Linked DNA regions of Drosophila melanogaster. The protein of the gene in region 1 purifies or fractionates together with the protein of each later gene. This does not show direct contact. Each region holds a gene or a part of one and is shown in the gene's direction. Other genes may lie near its edges.

What was found.
Region 2: the proteins of CG13983 (region 1) and CG34132 purify together in Drosophila melanogaster (affinity purification with mass spectrometry, with the first as the bait; one large-scale study listed by BioGRID). This does not show direct contact.

The regions. Positions count from the first base shown.
Region 1 is NT_033779.5:6,262,819-6,266,545, reverse strand, and holds CG13983 (uncharacterized protein), read left to right. Parts: upstream 1-2,055; 5' UTR 2,056-2,092; coding exon 2,093-2,186; intron 2,187-2,243; coding exon 2,244-2,911; 3' UTR 2,912-2,989; downstream 2,990-3,727.
Region 2 is NT_033779.5:7,883,485-7,886,624, forward strand, and holds CG34132 (uncharacterized protein), read left to right. Parts: upstream 1-2,018; 5' UTR 2,019-2,164; coding exon 2,165-2,320; intron 2,321-2,392; coding exon 2,393-2,491; 3' UTR 2,492-2,625; downstream 2,626-3,140. Other genes in the region: CG7102 (uncharacterized protein), read right to left, coding at 53-344, 427-1,097, 1,171-1,304, 2,824-2,986, 3,051-3,140; small ribonucleoprotein particle protein SmE, read right to left, coding at 1,575-1,859.

The DNA.
Region 1 (3,727 bases):
GTCCTTCTGCGGCAAAAAGCTTTGCTTCGCCCACTATTTGAACTGGGGATGGTCCAGTTCCGTCTTAACTGTCAATTTACCTAAAAATGCTAGAGCAGATGCAAATTTGTGCCAGTGAGGTGGTACACGGGGCCGACTCCATCCTGCTGAGCCAGATGCAGTCTCTTTTGCCGTTTGTAGCCGTTTGTATTTGCCCGAACAGAGAGCTCCCCGCACAAAGCCCTCCTCCAGTGCCTCTAAAACTGGCGGACTGACCGCCTGTGGAAGCCCGTAGATTTCAGCATAACGAATTGGATTGTCACGGCAATCGATAAATGTTTGCACACAGGCCGTTCCAAATGTAGGCTAAGTGGCCGGAGCTGCGAGGCCTCAAGGATAACCACCCTCCAACTTGGACACCATTGGGTTTTAGGCTTTGATGGCCCAAATTATCTCACAACGTCCATTTAATGACGCCGCTTTGGCCCAAATCATTTTTAATAGGGGCTGCGTAATGCTTGGCCATCATGATGAGTTGATGAGTTTAAAGTGATGTAAATCTTTTTAAAGGATATAATAAGGAGGATGACGACCTCTTTTCTACAAAGGATACATACTGATTAGATAATGTTAGCTAGAAGTTAAAAATTAAAGCATATTTAAAAGTTATATTACCACAACCTTCAATGTCTTACGTAAATCTGAATACTGAGAACTCAGACTAGCTATCCTATAATTGTTGTGCAATTAATACTGTAGACCTTCTCATTGACAGAGAAGTAATTTAATTTAAGGCTGCACTGGCTCCTCAGTTAGTTAGTTCTCTATTAGCCAGTATTGAAAGCTCTAAATAAATTTCCATTCATTTCATAGAAAAGCCGATATGTACGAGTTGAAGACCAGACGGCACGACCAACAGAATCTCTTGTCCAACGGCCTGTGGTCAATATTAAATGTCAGTTTCTCAAAGTGATTTCCATGGACTGTGGGAGCATAAAGATTGCGCACAGTTTTTCTTCAGCTATTTTCCCACTTTCCTCCCTTCAGCTTTTCTGGCCCGGCCTAATAGAATTTAAATCTGCTAAATCCTCGTACATGACAGTTTTCTGTGCTGGGTTTTGGGTCCTCTGTTTTCGCTCCTGTTGCTGTTTGCCGATGCCCCTCTGCTCCAGCTGAAGTCCTGTGGCCTCTTATTTATTTTTACTTACGACTGCTACTCGAAGTGCTCCGTCTGAAAGGCGGGATTCCATCTGGGAAGCTTTGGAACTGTGTGCGGTCTTGAGGTGATTTTGATTGAGTGCGATTTGTACTTTGTGTAGGCTACGTGTTTTGATTTCTTAAATAATATTTACCTCGTGTGCTATACACAGGACTCATTGTTGTCTTTGGCCTTTGATTGCACAGGATGAAATGGTCTCAACTTTTACTTTTACCGCCTCTGGTAACGGATATTCGTTCAGATAGTATTTGCTCTTTTAACATTGGCCCTGTTTGCCCAGTCCGAAAACAGGAAATGGGTTTATTATGGTGAATCAAATGGCATCCGTAGGAGGAGAGACATGCTTTTATTTTTATTATACCTAGAGCTCAGCACTAGTCATCTATTTATATTTTTGGAAACGAGACCACTGGCTTTCTAAACTCTTCCCAAGTTCAATGATTCAAATGTTGGGGCTAATGTCCTCTAATTCAGTTCGCAAAGATCCGATCGGCAATCTGCCGGCCTTTGTACACAGATCATAAATATCTACGTCGACGACGACTATAAACTAAACACATTAGCGCCCAGAGGCACTGAAAGTACAAACATTTAAAATAAACTGTAGGAGACTACTTAGTGCTAAATCGATCATGAAAGCGGCCGAGGGCGAAAGAAAACCCGTGAATCCATTCAAAAGACTCACTTTACGAGTGTAATAAACGTGAGGCAGGAGTGCGTTGGGCCAAAGTTGATTTACGAGCTGATATGAATAAATTCCGAGTATGCCCAGTTACCCAGTTAGGTTGTGAAATTCGCACTGAACTTTCAGCAGAAGAAGTTCTTTTGTATAAATAGCAATAGATAGCCAGTGGATGAGCACAGTCATCTCCAGCAGCTATCGATTGACATACCATGAGAACCCTGAGCGTCTTGATTCTCCTCGCCACTCTGGTTGCCTTTTGTGCAGCCCAGCAGGCCTCCAACGGCAAGAACAGAAAGGAAAATGGTAAGTCAATATGAATAAAACCCAGAGGACACTCATCCAACACTCGTCTCTGGACAGCCTTCTCCAAGATCGTTCCTCGCCTGCTGTGGAACATCAAGCGCGGCGACCAGGAGAGCCACCGCAACTCCCAGCAGCCCATCATCATAGTGCAGCAGCCCAGCTCGAATCAGGAATCGGATAGACACCACCACCACAACCCCAACTATCCCTACTACCCGTACTACCCACCACCACCACCTCAAAACCGTCCTCCGCCACCGTTTCCCGGCATGGACTGGAACACTGTGGGAGGAGGCCCCACCTACCTGATCATCAACCCCAACAACATGCAGGGCATCTACCTGCCCGCCAGCTCTAACAGCTCCAACTCCACTAGCTCACGGCGCAGCGCCTTCGTGCCCACCATTTCCGATTTGCTGCAGGGCCTCAACCTGGACGACCTGGCCGATGGAAGTCTCTTCGAGGATGATTCCGAGGTGGTCAACGCGGCCGAGGATGGAAATGCGGAGATTCCCCTGGCCGATGGACCAATCAGCCAGGCTGACGATGATCGCGAGGAGGACGTGATCAGCGAGGACGAGATCGATGCCATGGATCGCCAGAGCAACAGGGGATTGAGTCCCAAGCATCTGGTCTCCATACTGATGCAGGACAAGCGACGTCGCCGCATCCAGGAGGTTCTCGCTGGCATCTATCTGAGGAACTACAATCTGAACAGAAAGTAATCGAACGGATACGAGCAGATACAAATTGAAATTGTGCGAGGCTGAATAAATAGCGGGCACCTTGCCCAAAAACACCCCATAAAGTTGGCTCCTCTCGGCATCTCCGTATTTTGTCTTCATTATGGGGAGCACTTTATCATAGGTCCCCGGAGAAATCTAAGCCAAGTTGCTGCCCCCCAGAGGAGCTACTCCGGACCTGGCTAGCTGTTTGCCTTAGTTGCTGCCATTCTGCATTGTTACGACTTTCCCAGTTGCCGTAGCACTAAAATAATCTGCAACTGCAGTTGAAATATTTATTTGCAATTCCCCAACCTGGTGTAAGCCAGGATCTGCCAAAAACCAGGAGGAGCTGTTGCTCTCCGCCACGACAGGTGGCACCGGTGATGGGCGGGGTGTGGGATTGGGTTCTGGTATCTAGAAGTCTGGGACAGAAGTTGGGCGTGATGAGCAGCTGCAGTTATTGTTTCACCCGGAAAACTTTCTCAATGGGCAAACTCCGGAGCTAGACAACTTGAAATTATTCGCTGCAAAGTTGGATTTCAATTGGAGTGCCGAAAATGTGGCAGTTAGGCGACCCAGAGACCACATCTATCTTATGATCGCCTGGATTAGTAATAGGGCATAATTAATACTTGACTCAAAATATTGTGTCTGCAAGATTAAATTCTCAAATGGTAATAATGTTTTCGTTTAATTAGCAGGCCCAGCTGGCTTTTTAAGCTTTTTCCAAGACAGCCGACCGAACCCTTAATTATTGTATATTCATCTGCCATGGGCAACCCTTCTCCCAGTTCCAGTCCCAGTTCCAACTTGCCA
Region 2 (3,140 bases), 1.6 Mb from region 1:
AATAGTTTTATTGCCAGCATAGCTGATGCAACTACAAGTTGTTTCCCCAATTCTAGTATCTATCGTATTTTGCCTTTGTGGGCACCCCAGGAGCTTGGCCGTTTGTTGAGTGGTTCAGGTTCTGATTATTGCTGTGATTTGCTCCACTATTACTACTTCCTGCCGGCGAGGAAAGGGTATAGACCTCATAGTCGGTGATGGTAAAGTTATAGTCCCCGAAAAGTGTCAGGTGAGCAGCGTTGGTTCCGTCGTAGGAATGCGGAAGATTCGAGTATGAGTCCATGTTTGTATTACAGTTGCTGGAAATGAGCAGATCGGCTCCAGCACCAAAAATGGGACCGCAACTAAAGGGGAAAGCAGACATGGTAATCAGTACGAATTCCTAAACATAATGTAATATATAAGATTATTTTAGACATCACTTACTCAGGATGATAGCAAATGGCATATGGTTTCTTTACAATATCAAACTTGACCGGCTGTTCCCCATTGGCTGGATTCAAGGCAAAGAGGAAGGCTCGCTCGGACTGAACATATCCCCCCTTTCGGCTTGTTTTGGCCCACGCCACATCCGTATAACCACCACTGATCTCTCCATGCGATCCCAAGCCAATAACCATGCAAGGAGCCACGCCGTCGCAATAACGATGAAAGGCTCCAGAATCGTAGCCATGAGTGGACGCTCGGAAAACTAATCTCCAGGATTGCTTGCCCACTCCAACCCAATTATTGAGAACAGTCTGTAGTGCCAGATTGTCATTCTTCAGGATTTGGGATCCGGGAAACATGTTGACCGCTACAGCTAGGCGGGGCTGAAGTCTCTTATCGTTATCCATCATCTTATTGGCATGCAAAGCGGCATAGCGATATCGTTCTAGGGATAGTTCCATAGGTACAGCTCCTGTAGGTTCCACTTCCTCCGCGAAAACTTGGCTATCGATGAGAAGCAGACGCACGTGACCCATTACACCGCTTAAGTGTTGGCAGACACGAGCACGCTCCTCCTCAGTCCAATGTGCAGTGGGTTGGGTGACTCCTGCCTGGTATTTGGCCCAGGATAAAACGCAGCGCCACACTTCCTCCTCTTCCAAGCAGAACTATTGGTAGTTAACAGTTTTGGTAATTAAAGAAATTCAGTAAATTGAGTGGTTATTCATTATAAACTCTTACATAGTCTGAGGAAATAATCTTAATAATGGCATCCTTTGTTAAAGTAAGGAAGGCATTAGTCTTAACGCACTCATTTGCATTTTCCCCTATGTAGATGATGCAGCGTTCCATAAACGAGGCAGCGCATTTGGCACCTGAAATTTAAAGGGAAAGTTTAAAATTAATTCCTTGTTTTTTAAAGACACTCAACGGCTTTTACCTTGAGACAGCATCCTATTCTATATGTCCTGAAATCGGATCGTATTTGCTACCTTACCCATTAGAAACACTTGATTACAGAAAGTCTACCATTTATTTCAACATTCGTCTTCAGATATCGGCTTTACATTTATTTTACTTATATTAAGGGCGTTCAGCGTTTGCAGGTGGAATTCGAAGGATTCGCAGGATGGCCGCTGAGTCGCCTAGTCCTTCGTGGGACTGACGTTCTGTATGAGCGTGATGTTGTCGCCCTTGAGCATGATCCTCCCGAGGTTGCGGCGCTGCCGGGTCTTCACATAGACTTCCTCGGCGTCGTCCAGCACCAGATTCATGTACTCATCGAATCCCACAATGTGGCCCTCGATGCGCAGCGATATGTTCTCGTATAACCAAACTTGCACGCGGGACCGGTTCTGCAGGTAACGGAAGATCAGGTTGATGGGCTGCACCATCACCTTCTGCACCTTGGGATTTCCTTTGAACGACATTTTTGCTGATTTCCGACGACTTAATTTGAGTTAAACAAATTTTCGCTTCTTTTTGCCGGCGTCTTCTTTTCGTCCAGGCGATAGGCAGAAATATCGATGGCACAGCACAGATGGTCACACATAATCGCGGCCTACCGAACTATCGACCAGCCTAAAGATACCAAAATGGTAAATCCTCTGGTAGCATAACCATATCGATAGAAACACTATCACAATCGCACTGTTAAGTTTTTGTGGTTGGGCAGAAGTTGTTGCCATTTATTCATAGCTGAATTAAACTATAGTTTATAAAGAAAACCAAACAAATGGCTATGGCTAATGTGGACAAAGGTGAACTTATGGACCAGGTTAAGCAACAGATTGCTGTTGCGAATGCCCAGGAATTGCTCACGCAAATGACCGAAAAGTGCTTCAAAAAATGTGTCAATAAGCCGGGAACTTCCCTCGATTCGTCCGAACAGGCAAGCTATACATATCTTATTTTGCACTATAGAATATGTATTTAAATAGTATTTCATTAATATCCAATTTAGAAATGCATTTCCATGTGCATGGACCGGTTTATGGACTCGTGGAACCTCATTTCTCGGGTGTACGGCCAAAGAATACAACGTGAACAATCCAAGTTCTAAACACACGAATCGGCTTCTGCATTTTGGAGCAGCTTGGGACTAACTATATCTGCCAGCTATTGATTAGTTGTTATATCTAAAGTTTGATAATGCAATAAAAACATGCATTGCGTGTTACGTGATTCTGATAACACAACGTGCATATGTTTTTTCTTATCGATATGTGATGTGGTACAAAAAATACCAAAACTTTCAGAATGGTTAGTCTCAATACATTTGACATAGCATATTATGTAGAATGTATAAAGTGTTTTGGCGCGAATATGCAACTTCACATAATTGCTTACTTTTAAAGGTGTGATTTTCTAAAAGAGCTACTCAATATTACTAACCTGCTTTTTCGTGTATATCCATAACGGCGGTTAAAAATGTGCAGGCATTATCCACCGACAATGTCGATATAACGTGATCCTCGCAGGCAGTTCGTAGCTCAACCACACCGATATCCTGTGCCAATATCATCATTTGAAATACTTGCGAGTCCTGGAGAACCAACTGAAAAATGAATTTTGGTTATAATTTTATTATGTTAGATGTTACTAATAAGTAGTTTTCTTACCTTTGCGGTGTAAACGTACAAGATGAACTGCCTGAATAGTTCCGGATTCACGTGTGGTAATCGTATGGTGGTCGGAGTTGAAGCTCCTGG